Drosophila melanogaster: one gene and its partner. Changing the gene in region 2 together with the main gene of any one other region gives a genetic interaction. Each region holds a gene or a part of one and is shown on either strand. Other genes may lie near its edges.

The links. A genetic interaction does not mean that the proteins touch.
Region 1: of pnt (region 2) and SH3PX1, changing one suppresses a phenotype caused by changing the other (phenotypic suppression), as found in Drosophila melanogaster (one study listed by BioGRID).

Annotation. Positions count from the first base shown.
Region 1 is NT_037436.4:9,708,254-9,715,476, forward strand, and holds SH3PX1 (SH3 and PX domain containing 1), read right to left. Parts: upstream 5,575-7,223; 5' UTR 5,433-5,574; coding exon 4,680-5,432; intron 3,900-4,679; coding exon 3,247-3,899; intron 2,767-3,246; coding exon 2,475-2,766; 3' UTR 2,169-2,474; downstream 1-2,168. Other genes in the region: CG16711 (uncharacterized protein), read left to right, coding at 1-215, 285-348; vsg (visgun), read left to right, coding at 6,298-6,370.
Region 2 is NT_033777.3:23,341,354-23,349,404, forward strand, and holds the start of pnt (pointed), read right to left. Parts: upstream 4,815-8,051; 5' UTR 4,045-4,814; intron 1-4,044. Other genes in the region: PolE1 (DNA polymerase epsilon subunit 1), read left to right, coding at 6,838-6,908, 6,970-7,096, 7,159-8,051.

The sequences.
Region 1 (7,223 bases), on a different chromosome or scaffold from region 2:
ACACTACGCTCCAGTAAAGCCTGCGTCACCTATAATCCCCTCGAGCAGGCCAAGCAGCAAATGCACCCAGCCGCCGCCGCACAGCAGCAGCGCAAGCGGGGCAATATGCTCGCCCAGGACGTGCAGCAGCAACAGCACCAGCAAAATCTTGCAGATGCGGCGGCAGCAGCCGGCATGGATGCCAACTCGGCACTGTGGCATCCTCTCTTCGGAAGGTGAGTGATGTTCCTAACCTAATCATCTTTCCCATCTGTTCAAATTAATCCACATCCGTTCCCTTTCAGCAATCCCAAACAAGGCTACAATAGTCCATGGCAGTGGACCACGGTGACGGCATCAGGTGAATGACAGTCAAGCCGGGCTCAAAAGGAGCCAGCACCTGGATCGGGAACAAGGACGGCCAGCTATGAGGAGCAGCATCAGCAGCAGGACTACAGCAACTATCACGCCTCGGCCAAGCAACAGCAGCAACAGCAACCACAACTTCCAGCAGCCAACAATCAAAACCACAGCAACAATAGTAGCAATAAATTTTGTTATCCAACGGCAGCGGCCATGGAGAATATGTTCCAGAACAATCAGATGGCGGCCGCTGCCGCCGCACGCGAATCCCTGCTGAATTCATATCTTTATCAAAAGGATAGCGATGCCGGCAATTATATGGCGGAGCAGAGCTACTGGCAACAGCACCAGCAACATCACCACCAACAGCAGCAGCAGCAGCAGCATCAACAACAACAGCAGCAGCAACATCAACAGCAGCAACATCAGCAGCAGCAGCAACACCAACAACAGCAACACCAACAGCAGCAACAGCAACAGAAGCAGCTCCAGCAGCAGCAGCAGCAGCATCAATGGAGCGCCAACAACGGCAGCAGCAACCAAAGGAGCAACAATTATGCCAACAACTATGCGGCGGCAGCCGCTGCCTCCATGTACATGCAACACTTCAATCCCTACATGCAACAGAAGGCGGCGCTGCTGGCGGAGAAGGCTGCCCAAGCGGCGGCGGCGGCTGCAGCGGTCCAGAGCAGTAACGGTAGCAATAAGCACGGACGCTTCGGCGGTGACTACGGCTAGGAGTCGTCCGGTGGGTTCACGGTTCAGCTAACCGAAGCGCAAGACACTTTAGCGCATAAACATAAACATATAGGCATATGTAACACTTGCGTGTAATAATAACTATATATTTAGAGGCATCGTATAGGCCGTTTTACCGCCAGGAATTGGTAAAGGATAAACCATGATTTTCCTTTAGTTTAATACACAGGAACAGCAACAACAAGGTAACCGGAACGCAAACAACAATAATTTATAAACAACAAACAAGGTGGTAAACACAAGCAGAGAGCAGTAAACATAAAAAAAAACTTAAATTGAATTAGTAAAAATTTGTTATTGGTAGTTTGTTAACAAAAAAGAAAAACACAAAAAATATGAAAAGAAAACAAAGAGGAAAAAACAAAAAAAAAACACGACAAGTAAACAAAAAATAATGTAGAGCGCGAAAGCGGAAGGCAAAAGCAAAAAAAAACCTAATTATTGTATTATTGTTAACCAAAATCTATTATTATTATTATTATCTCAAGCTGCGTTATATTATTATTATTATTATTAACTCGTGTGTCTGTATATAGCGTTTTTATCTAGATGTATTACACTTAGTGATCCCCCCACAACCCGATTCCCATCCCTGGAAACCCACATCCGACTATCCTCCAAAAATGCCAGGACAATCCTTGGACCCTTCACCTTCACCTATGACCTCGCCAAAAATCAAACGAAAACAAAGCGCAGCGCTAAAAGGCAAACAACCGATTTTGTATCCATTCCGAAATGTGTTTCTTTTTGTTTTTACTAGTTATTACGCTGATTATTTATGAAATCATCATCCCTAACATGTGCAATCTAACACTTATGTTCTAGATACAAAAAAAAAAAACAAAAAAACCAAACAAACACAAGAATCACAAAACTTATTAACGCGAAAATGGCAAAGCAAAAGCATGAACATGAAAATGGAAAAATAAAGAGAACCCTTTTAGAGAATTTCGCTGATAAAGGCAACAGAATAGCAAATCGCCACCGAGACTTTTAATTCAGCGGGTTTGGTTGGATCATCCAAATATGATGATTATGATGCAGATGATGCACTTGCACAAGTGGTTCTGTATAAATATAGTTATATTTGCATCTCAAGTTCAGTGTATAATAGGCATATAAAAGTTAATTTCTGTATAAATACGCAACTTTTCACTTACAAACAACATTATGTAATATTTTTTCTGTTTAACATTTAGTTAGAACCACGCTTAAAGTAAGAGTTCCTTTCGAAGGCATTTGAAATGCGCGCGTGCGAATGTTTTCAGCTATGTATCTCTGTGTGGAAGTGTGTGCCCGGTGCGGTTTCTTTGTGCTCCCAGCCGTCGATCTCTTCAGCGATGAGTCGTCGTCGCCATGGGCCAAGGGCCAATCTACTCAATCTGACGGCTGGCCTCCTGCAGGCGCGCCACCACGCCCTGGTAAAACTTAATCTGTTCGGCAATGAAATTCTTAAGCGTATGCTTCAAATGCGTATCCCGCTCGCTCTTGAAGTGGGTCAGCTCGGCCAGCACCGTGTAGGAGACGACATCTGTGCGCCGGTTAACGTCGTGCAACTGGGGATTATTCATCCTGCCCTCGCCGGCCAATTTCTCGCAGTCCTTTCGCTTCTGTATGGCACCCTTGTGCGTGGAGAAGATGTCCGGAAAGCAGTTGAGAACGCCCCTATTTGGAAAAGTGAAAGTAAGAATTAGATAATGCTTCTAGATCGTTCTATAAACAAATAGCGACGGAAAGTTACCACATTCTCTAGAAGTTATATATATATTATACATATGTATATCTATGTATATATTTCTTGTTAAACTAAAGGTCAGTCAGCGTAAGAACCACAATAATCTAAAATAAACTATTGGCCAACAATCGATTTTTCTCGCGAAACTATACATTGATTCATTGCTTAAAAGTAAACAATTTGAGTTCTTTATAAATAAACTTGATACCTTAAAAACAATTTACAAGAAAGTAATCTATCGAAAATTTTTAATTGTGAGTAATTCAGCCATATATGTATGTGCCTATTGTAACTTCTAGTATAGAAATGACACATGTCGTGGAATTCCCATTTTCAGTCAGCTAATCAATTACTGATGAATGAAACGAAATGTGCTATGCTTCCCATCACTTATAGAGACGTCAACCCACCTGTAGATGTGAAGTCGATCCGAGAGGGGAATCCAATCATGCTTTGGCTGGTCGCCAAAGGCCTGTCCAATACCGATAAAGATGCCACCGATGCGGCCGACGCTCTCGGAGAGCGGAACCGCGTTTCGGGTGGGCGCACGCCGCTCATCGATGGCCAATGCCTTGGCCAGGTCGGAGAGTCCGTCGCCAATGCGCTGGAACTCCTTTTTACTCTGCGACATGGAGCGCTTGGCCATGTCGTTGGATATATTGTTCAGGTTGCGTACTGCCACGTCCATGCTGTGTATGAACTGGGTGCCCAGCTCCACCTGTGCGTCCACCTTAGAGTGCAGCAGGTTCTTGTCCGGCGGCGAGATGGCCAGGCAGTAGTTGACGCCCATGTAGGGATCCCGTTCCGCCTTGCGTTTGCCCGACTTCCAGATCTTCTCGTCGCGGCAAGTGAGGAAATGGTACCAGACCTCGCATTTGGAGATCACCGGATGGCGGCACACCCAGTCGACGAACTCCTGCAGCTGCACACGTCGATGCTCCACGAATTGCTCCTCATAGCGGCCGGAGATCTGCTTGTCCGGCAGCGGTGGCACCGGAATCAGGCAAAACTTGTCCACCAAACGTTCGTGCAGCCAGTCGAAGTGCTTGTAGCGACGTGACACCTAACGAAAGGGAAACCCAGATTAGATATGACCAATTAATTGTGATTGGGTCACGCAAAGAGGAGCCCGGAGCTCGGGGGGTCAGAGCTCGTTGCTGAGTCATTCCCCGTGGCGGTTCGCAAGCACAAGCAATCATCGCAGTGCCGCTGGCTACCAGTTGGTCAGAATTGCCCCCACAAAGAAGAATTTTAAGTGCTTTTACGACTCTGTAATGCTCTACCTATTTGTATGTGTATTTTAATGGACTGAAAGAACTTTACAAAGAGCTTTGATTTCAGTTCGAAAGTAATGTCGAGCATTTATGCTTCTCATTATTGTAATGAATAAAGTTGATCGAAATTATCAAAATACTATTTAAGTAGCTAATAAGAAATGAACTATAGCTTTGAATAGTATTAAAACTTTAACAAATAAAAAGATAAATTTAGCCAATTTTCAGAGTCTTAATAAAACAAACCAATTAAAGAAATGGATATGATCTCCATTTAAATTTTCTCAGCAAAAAAGGGTCACTTTTAAGGTCAACTCAGTTGGAAAATGTTGGCCGGCAATTAGTGCGGAGTTTCGATAAACAAAGGATTGGTCTTTCTTTATTCCATTCCATCTGCTCGTGAGCACATGAACCAGCCCAAATTACCCTTGGCAGAGGGTAGCGAACACAGCACAGACACATATTATCAACAAAATATTGCACCCGTAGTTACACACTCATGCGCCAACGGTCGGAGCTTTATCGTATTGTGTTGTTAATCACGGCGATATCAGGGTTGGCCAACTTACGGATATGTTGTTGAAGCTAGGCGTCAGTTGGTAGGCAATGAACGTCTTCATCCCCTTGAATTTGGACTCCTTTTTGGGACTGGCCACCACAACGGAGTAGGGCGAATGGTTCTGCGTCCACTGGTAGATCGAGTCCTCCACCTGTGTAATGTAGGCCATCTCGCATTCGGGTATCTTCTCCTTGGTGCTGGACAAGCCGAGTATATATGAATCGGAACTTTTGGCGAACATGCCCTTTTTGACGGTGCCAGCAGCACCAGTCCCACCAGCCACGGAGGCCAGTGATTGGGTATCATCGTTGGGCGCGATGGGCAGGTGTTTGTTATCGTAGTCACTGGTGGAATGCGACAATCCGCCAGCGCGAGCCGACTGTCCCGCAGACTTCTGGCCACCTGGACCAATTTCCGAGTACGTGTCATTGTCGTCGCTCCAATCGTCCTCATCATCCCAGTTGCTGCCATCATCATCCGCCGTCTGATCGTAACGCGGCAAAGGGGGCGAGGCGAAGGGATCCGGAACCTGTGGCACCGACGTCGCTCCACTGGCGCTCAGCTTCTGGGCTTCGGCCGCCGACATCACCTCCACGTACGCAGCCGGGAAGAGGCCAATCTGGCCACGGGCATTCTTGCCCTCCCACCAGCCTTCACCCACATCGCTCCGGGTCACCGAGAGCACGTCGCCAGTCGCGATGGAGAGCTCCGAGGAGCCCGGCTCCCCGGTAAAGTCGTACATGGCACGCACGTACGAGGTCATCTTGGTGCTCTCCTGGTCGTTCCTTTACGCTAATTCGAGTCCTGTCTTCACAGGGGCCATAAACAGACAAGAAATATCTACTAATTCTGAATCACCAAGTGTGAAGTGTTACCGTTTCTTGGATTACGGAATTAAACTGACACTGACGTCTTCTTCGCTCTGCAGCAACAAGATATAATGATGATACAGCAATTTTATTAGGGGTATTCCCCCAACACACCTGAATTCTACACTTGGAACAGAGGCACTCTCTAATTTGATAAATAATTATAAAAACTTCATATTTATACTGTACTACTACTATATACTCACTAAAATAAAATAATATAAATGGTACATTTAAGTCGATCAAATTAAATTAATGAGTTATTGCGTTATCAAGAAAGATTTAGCTGTGAAAAATTACTTATGTTTATATAGATTTAACCTACAAATATTTCAAATAAATTGCTAGGTGGGTATACAATTTTATAGTAATAAATCAAGTAAAATATAAGGACAAATTTATGATCATAATTTTATATTGCACCAAATGCGAGGCGTTTCAACTACATTACGGTCTCCCCCTACTGATAAGCGCCGAGTGCCAGGGCTGCAGAGCACGGCTCAGCTGTCGATGTATCGGGATGCATCGAAGTATCGAGTTGGCATAAAAGAATCTGGTCTTCGTGTCGTGTTATTCATTCCTTAATTGCGCCTTGCTTTAATTTGTGGGTGAGCGAAATCGGAGCTCGGCGACATCGCCAGTTGTGCAATACTGACTCCAGCGGTATCTGTTAATCCCCAACCACTTCGCAAACGTATTTTCTTTGCCTTGCAGATTTGCTGACTTTGTCGTTCGAGTACTCAGCGTTTAACGACCACAATGAATCGGCAGGCGAAATTCCTAATCTTGTGCCTCTTTGTGGGCCTCTTCTCCGCGAATTTGTGCGAAGAAGGTGAGTCTTTGATCAAATTACACCGAATTAAAATCGAATTGAAGACACGCCGAACACTCATTTCTCAATTATGCACTCGGACACACACACACACACGCTTGCATGTGCATGCGTACGTGTGCGCAAACCCCTCGCGTGTGTGCGCCGTGCGGGCATGTGGGTGTGTGTGTGCATGAATGTGCGTGTGTGTGGATGTGGGGGTTTTTTAAATGCCAATTCCTATATTGAATATCAATTCTCCGGCCATTTTCTCTTACTCCGACTTTGGGGGAATGTTCTCCGCATAAGAACTGCAAATCTACAGCTTTCCAAAAGAAACTTGGAATTTACGAAAGTCCGTAAATTGTCACATTACCATACGTTAATATTTGTGGACATTTGGTAAATATGTATTTACCGAGCTGTAACCATATTTTGTTCGCAAGCATTTATTTAAATCGTCACGTCCTAATTACCATACGAAAATATTTGTACATATTTTAGGATTTAAAGAGATTTTGACCATATTTTGTTGACAAACAATTTAATGTTTACTTTTTCAGCTTTCTTAAATTTCCATTCCTTAAATTCCATTATTGCATACAAATAAATATCACCTAAATGCTGCCTATTTTGAATATAGTAATCTTTATTTTCCGAACCAAATCAATTTGTTTTGTTACGTTTTTCTATTTTGTTTGACAATTTTGACATCATTTACATGTGCAATGGAACTATTTTTATTTTCAATTCTTACAAAACATGTGTATTCGTTGTGCTTTTTGAAATATTGGAAATCGATCAATAAGAGTCGTTGTGAACTTATCATGCTTACCAATTTATTTGCTTTTAACTTTGGAGTGACGCATAAGTT
Region 2 (8,051 bases):
AAGTGGGTTAGATAAGCCGCAGAGAAAAAAAAAGAAGAGCAGTTCCAGAAATCTTAAACGTCTCTTCCCATGAGGGCTTTTCACAATTGCCCAGCCAGAAGCCACTATAAATAACGCAGACTTGCGATAATGTCAAGAAATTACGCATTAAAACATATGATATTTATGTACATTAAATGCACTTTCAATGATAAAAGCTGTTTAGTGGTAAATGTTTAAACTAAAAAGGGCGATTATCCAATGGCATGAAATAAACTCAACTTAAAACTTGAAATTCATGAGTACATATGCACCTAGCTACACAAATCCGAACTAATTATTGTAATTTTAATCTATGGCAAAGCTATAGCTAATAAGATTTTAATTTTATATAGTATAGTACTACGACTTTTATCGCAAAAGATTGATTCGCTTCTTGATACACAAATGCTATTCTTGGCTACGGTAAACGCCCCCAAGTCACCATATACATATATATACATATACTGTATATGTATCTCAAGCTACATCTGAGGAGTATCTTTGAGCACTGGCTGCCTAATTAGATACGTTATGCAAATGTGTAGATACTGTCGACACTGTCGTCGCATCGGTGACGATTCCAACCAAGTCCGTCTCCCTCGTTTGCGTTCTTTGGCACTCGGTGTATGTGTGGCCAACAGTTATCTACCCGTCTTATCAGCCGTATATGTACGTACACATACATATGTAAATCGTTGGTATATATGCACATACATATATGTATGTACAAGTGGGTATGGGTTGAAGCAATTCACGCTGATCTAACTGAACCAAAAATAACGAATGGAAAAGGGGAAAGAACGGATATATATTTAACTTTCAAAGACTCTCAGTGGATTTTTCAAATGATATGGCGGTTATATCGCATTTGATTTGATTTCTTTGAGTAATGAAATGAATAATAAAATGGTTTTGATTTGTATAAAGGAATACCCCGTTGCCTAGGGCAATATCGTCAGGAAAAACTGTTGCATAAATTTCAGCTCGAGCTGTTGCGAAATCAATTTCGATTTGATTTGCTGATTTTCGTCCGATCAACTGAAACGCCCAGCTGGTCCAGTTATGTATTCACGTTCACAAGAACCAGATTATAAGCACATACAAGAATATATCAATGTATAAATACACATATATATCAATGTTTATAAATTGAGCGCACTAAAAACGAATTTAAGTTAATCAACATTTAAATGGATAATAAAATCAGCGAATGCAGTCCACAAAAAGTTGATTTATTTCGCGCCTCCTAGTTTTTCTGCCGCCCCAAGTGCAATCAATTCAATGTAGAACAGCAATAACAGAAACCACAGCAGCATTACTAAATCTGCACACAATCTATATGCATTTTCAGCTGTGGATATATATATATATAGATCTCGACTGCATATGATTTTGAATATGCCAGCAGTGCTGAGTGCACTTTTCACACGAAAATAATTCATTGACGCATAAAAGTGGCCAAGATAATTGGCAACTTTTGGCAAGTCCAATTGATTTTTGGCTTTGGCAAAAGGCAAATGCGAATATTTCAGTTCCTAGAGTCACTCGAAAAATGTTGGCAATAAAAAGTTAGCTAACATAATTGTGAATGAAATTAGTTTATTTTCCGAAGACAAGGAAAATAAGCGATCGTCGCAGCAATTACAATAATCGTAAAAGCACATACTACGTAGATTAACTAAGTAAATAAGCCAGTGCGAATAACACTTGTGCCTCCAAGTGGCAGAGATTAATTTGGGTTTATTTAGTCAATTAATTAAAAGTGACTTGACAATTGTCCTTATCGATTCGCGAATTCCACAGTTTTTTTTTTGAAACCAATCAATCATTCATATGAAAATAAATTCCTCAAATGCAGATAAGTCCAGAGGGAAAATCGAGGAACAAATGCGTAAGTTTGAAAGTGGCACATTTTTCAAAAACCGCCTTCAAATCGCAGCATTTCGAGCACCAAAAATCATTCGGCAGGGTGCCAAAAACGAGTCGCAATCGCTAAAACTATCTGAACAAAAAACCTTATCGCCCCGACACGTAGATAACCGAACCGAAAAAAAAAAATAAAATAAAATAAAATATTATATATACGTATGTATGAGGGAGAGCGAGGGCGACAACAAAAAACCACACGAATCGAATTGAAACGAAAATCGGAGCATATGTTTTCCCTGGAAAAGAGCAAAATTTTTTGGGTTGGCCCATAGTAAGTGGACCAAACGAGTGGAAGATGTCTGGCAGTCCGAGTTTTTGATGTCTGGAGGAGAGTCTGGGCGCAGCAGATGCTTAAAGAACAGATTGTAAACGAATATGATCTTTTGATATGGTGCGCACTCCTCGGCCAGACGACAACGACAGCAACAACTAAAACACCAGCAGCGGCAACAAATAGGGGTGCAATTTTTCGATGTGTACGTAACGGTAGAATACACATTTAGTCGCTGCTCTTTTCTTTCCCAGCGCCTGGCCCTTTTTTCCTCGCGCTGAATGTAAAGAAGGGATCTCCGATCCGCTGATGATCCTCGGGATGCCTGCCTGTGTACACATGTGTTGTTCTATCTGTCGCAGAACAGTCCGAACTGCATGTGTGTGCGGAATATCTATGTGTGCGGAGTATCTGTGTGTGTGGCATATCTGTGCGAGTGTGTCGTCTTGTCTTGTCATGGGATCGATCTTGATCTCGGCCTGTCTGCAGCAGGTTGATACTTTTAGCATCGGTCCGGGCACAGAATCCGAGTTTAACGTGGCATGGGGCAACGAACCAGCCCGTCGAACATCCACTGAACTGTAATTGTCTGTGGGTATTTATGGAAAAGGATCTTGAACTGGTCTTTCATTTCGGACCAGACGCTCGAGGAGGGAAAGGGAGAGGAGCGGTTGGCGGTAGCTGGGCTCAATTATGATCCGACGATCGTCACACATCAAATTATCGATTATGGCAATAATTTCTTATCATTCCCTTGTGTATTTTGCTCGCAAATTGGTTTTTTTTAAATAGCCCAAGGGATATTAAACATGTCTTTAGAGTAGTTCAATGATCGTAACTCCTTAAATTATCGTTTTTTGGCTTTAAGACTGCGATAAGGACGTAAATCAAGTTTTATCATAGAAATAATAACAATTGATCTAAGCAAAATCTTATTGTAAAATTAATCATTTTAATGGTAACATTTTTATAAAATATGATATCGGTTAAGCCTTTAACTATCCTTTGATCTTTTTTGTATTAATAATTACTTTAATTTACATCCCAAATTGTAAGATCCTTTTAAAAACCCTTTCAGGTAACCCAAAGTGCAGAACAGGAAAGCCCCAATTATACATACTTTAAAACCGAAAGGTCAAAAGAGTAGCACTCCGGTATCAGTTTTATTGATACTTAATTGTCTAATGCGATCGCTGTGCTAGATTCTTGACCCTAACCAAAAACCGTTCACACATTCTCGATTACCAAACCCCTTGGATTGATGGCCCGAAACGCGATCGTGGGGCAGGCGAAGCTCATTTGCCGCACCGGAAGCTGTAAAAGGAACAGTAGTAATTTCGAGCGTGTTTCCCACAAGGGTTGTGGAAGTGCCCCACACACACACACTCACGCACACTGGCGGCTAACTAGCTTGGCTATGATGCCGAGTAGAAAACCAATTCAAATTCTGTTGGCCTGGCCAACAACGAGTTTATAGAGGCAGCAATCCTGAATCGAGGCGAGATCGCGAGATCGGCGGATCTACCGAGCGGTAGCCAAACCAGTTTTCTCCTAGATTCATTCAAGAAAACAGGCAACACCAACACAAAAAGGGTTTACATGCACTCAAAAGAAACTCTCTAAATTTCATATTTTTAAGATAAATATGATTTAAAAGTTATATTTCAAAACTATATATCAACAGCAATTAAGAGATATATGGTTTATTATTTGTTTTCAATTGTTTTGTCTTTTAATTTTCGCTGGATTTTTGTTTCGAGTGTAGGGAAAATAACAAAAACTAATACTTGAACTACTGTTTTTCAACACTTCACTTTTCTTACCGGTGCGGGGTAATAAAATAGCGCCCCTTCGTGAACAAGAAGGCGGGGGCTACTGGGCTCTTGATTTTTGGTTTGTGGGTTCTGGATTCTAAAGACCGTCTTTCGGTTGGCTTTTTATTAGGGTATCCAAATTAATTACAGCTTCAAATTAGGCGCACAATCTTGATGGACTCCGCAGCACCGATGACTATCTCTTGCTCGTTCTCTCTCTCTATCACGCTGTATAGATGTGTATGTTTTAACCCTCCGGTGGGATCAGCAGGTTGATTAGGGGGAGAGAGAGAGGGATTACGTGCCGGGCACAAAGACAAACGAAAAACCGAAAGGAACAACTCGAGAAGAAATCGGGGATCGGTTTAGCTCGGCTTATAAGACGCGAAAAGAAACAAACCGAAAAAAGGCCGACGGATCGCTGGCAAACACACACACGCGCGCGCACACTCACACTCAGGCACTCTCACGCGATGTTTGAGGAGATTTTTGTGGTTTTATGATGAATTTCGTATATAGAAATTGGTTTCCTGTGTTTCTGAACCGCGTTTTTTTTTCTGTTGCTGTTTGCCTTCCTTTTTTTGATGTATATTGCGCGCGCAGATCTTTAGATGTTTTGCTATTGCACTCATTCACTTACACACTGGGTTTTTGCTTGGCTTGCAAAGTGTTTTGCATTTGTTATTTATTTGTTATTTGATTCGTATAATTCATTCAAATCGAATTTACCGTAGCGCAAGTGCACGCTTCCCGAAAGAAAGACAAAAACAGACTGACCGACTGGCAACAGGCGGCAGCGACGCCGACGTTGGCGCAGACGCAGCGTTGACGCCAACGCCGACGCACCTTCTCTCTCCGTTTCTCTCTCTCTTTCTCTCCGCTGCTAAGATTAATATTTTTTTGTGTTGCTCTGGCAAGTGATAACAAAAATGGCAAATAATATGAAAATCGAGAGTTATATCAATCTGACTTATAAACATTATTCGCTATTTTACTTGATCGCTGGAATGAAAACGAAAAGGCGTGGGTGATCCTCAATCTCGCTATCTCTTTCGCACTCGCACTAGAGCGTGCATCATGAGCGCAAGAAAAAAATGGAAATCAGAATTACATATTTCGAGCAGCAAAAACAAAGTGTTTGCAGCGACAAAAAAATAGCAACAATTTATAAAAAAAATCTGCTTGCTCAGAACTCAGTGTAAGTGCGAATATGCGAGAGAGTGTGTGGGTGCGTGTATGTGTGTGTGTGTGTGTGTGCGGGCGATCGTTTTTGGCAAGCATTTAAACAGTGCCCAAAATCACTAGTATATTTAAAATATTTAGTATGCAAAGGGGGCGGAATAATAAAGACAAATATTTTAAAATTTGGCAGTCTCAGTCTTTCAATTGTGTACACTGATATAAAAATTTATTTATTTTGATTCTGGATTTTATACAAATCTATATTTTTGACAAATAAAGTAAATTGGTCAAAATATCAGTTCCAGCTTATTTAAAAGGAAAATTATACTAGTTTCTTTGTTATAATAATTAATAAAATATTTATTTAATATGAAATAATACCTATATGAAAATTTTGATGTGAGATTAAATTATCAACTTATTATTATCATTATTAAAGTTTGCACACAATGTGGGAAAGCTGCAGCTTGGGAAAATACTTTTGGACACCCCAAAAAAAGTTAAGCGCGATATTTTCCCACCGTGACCATGACAACCACTGTGCGTTCGAAAGGCTCTCTCTCTCTCTCTCTTTCGCGCAAATCAAAAACACAAACAGGTTTATGTGTGCGGAGAGTGTGTGCGACAGAGAGCGGCGATATGGAACTGAAACGACTGCAATGTTTTTATATTCCGGCAACGCATTTCGCATAAATTACAAATTACACAGCATAAGTGAATGCAAGTGCAGGGGCGGCAGTCAAATGGCCAGCTGCACCCAGAAAAAGGGCAATAAGATTCGGGATAACAAAACTTGATGGCGTTCCCGATTTTCCCGGCCAAGGGAGCGTATATGTACACATAAAAAAAAAAAACTTAACCAGCCTTGCATAACGAAACACGTGCAATAAAAATATGGCTGATTGTCAACCTCTGCTGCAACTTAATTGCTGCCGCAGAGGTAAAACTGAAAAACATAAAAGGGGGCGACAAGTGCAGCAAGCGAAAAAAAAGAACTCAAAGAGCGCATGCGCGCCGCTCTCCCACTCTCTCTCCCTCTCTCCACTGCGCTGGAATCTTACAACTCGTGTAGGTGAGCCGGATTTTTATGAATGAATGCGCCTGTGTGCGTGACTGCATGATGCCATTGCAGCGGAGAACTAGTAGAAAAAACTTCACATTTCAGCAGTTGGAAAACACATGGCCAACAGGCCAACTCAATTGGCCAGCAGCTGTCCTTAAATTGTCAGCAAATAGGGCATTTAATGCCCATTACAGGAAAATTATAGCTAAAATGGTCAAGCTGTGATGAAATAAACATAAATATTATATTTTATGATTTCATCAGATTTTAAGCATTATTTTTTTAATTTGTGTTAGGTGGAACTACAAAGCTAAGAATAATTGAGGATTTCTAGGTAAAACTTATATTCTTAAAACCATTTAATAATTTTCTTGTTTTCTTTTATTTGTAGTAACATTTTGAAATTGGCGCCAAACGTGTTACTTTACAGTGCTGTGCAACAGCTAAATGTCAGCATTCTCTGCAACGCGTTAGCACATTTCTGAGACGTTTGCAGATTTTTGGCGGCAACAAGTTATTTACATTTATTTATTTTATTTCTGCTAAACAGCACGGAAATGTCCGACTCCAGCAAAGGCAAAGTGCTGCAAAATACGGGTAAATTCGTCAGCGAGAATCGCACAGAAGGGTGAGTGGTCAAAGTTCGTGAATTTCACGCTGAACAAGATATTTTCCAATCTTATCCACAGCGACGACTTCTTCAATGAGGCGGGCTATCGTCAATCCCGGGAGAACGATAAAATCGACTCGAAATATGGCTTCGATCGGGTTAAGGACAGCCAGGAGCGGACGGGCTACCTCATCAACATGCATTCGGTAAGTTAGGAAGCCCATAAAACGTTGAAAATCATGTCCAATAATGGCTATGCCAATTGCAGAACGAAGTTTTGGATGAGGACAGAAGATTGATTGCTGCCTTGGACCTGTTCTTCATCCAAATGGATGGTTCCCGCTTCAAATGCACGGTGGCCTATCAGCCATATTTACTCATCCGACCAGAGGATAATATGCATCTGGAAGTGGCGCGATTTCTGGGTCGCAAGTATTCCGGCCAGATTTCTGGACTGGAGCACATAACCAAAGAAGATTTGGATCTGCCCAATCATCTATCCGGTTTGCAGCAGCAGTACATAAAACTTTCGTTTCTCAATCAGACAGCCATGACCAAGGTTAGAAGGGAACTCATGTCCGCGGTGAAGAGAAATCAGGAGCGACAGAAATCCAACACATACTACATGCAAATGCTGGCCACCTCGCTGGCCCAATCCTCCGCAGGTTCCGAGGATGCCACATTGGGTAAGAGGCAGCAGGATTACATGGATTGTATTGTGGACATAAGGGAGCATGATGTGCCTTACCACGTCAGAGTGTCCATCGATTTGCGCATCTTTTGTGGACAGTGGTACAATATCAGGTGCAGAAGTGGCGTGGAATTGCCTACGATCACCTGCCGACCGGATATTCTGGACAGACCCGAGCCCGTGGTCCTGGCCTTTGATATAGAAACCACTAAGCTGCCCCTTAAGTTTCCCGATGCCCAGACGGATCAGGTTATGATGATCTCGTACATGATCGATGGTCAGGGTTATCTGATAACCAATCGTGAGATTATATCATCCAATGTGGACGATTTTGAGTACACTCCCAAGCCGGAATTCGAGGGTAACTTTATAGTATTCAACGAAGAGAACGAGATGCAGCTGCTCCAGCGCTTCTTCGATCACATCATGGAGGTGCGTCCCCACATCATTGTTACATACAACGGCGACTT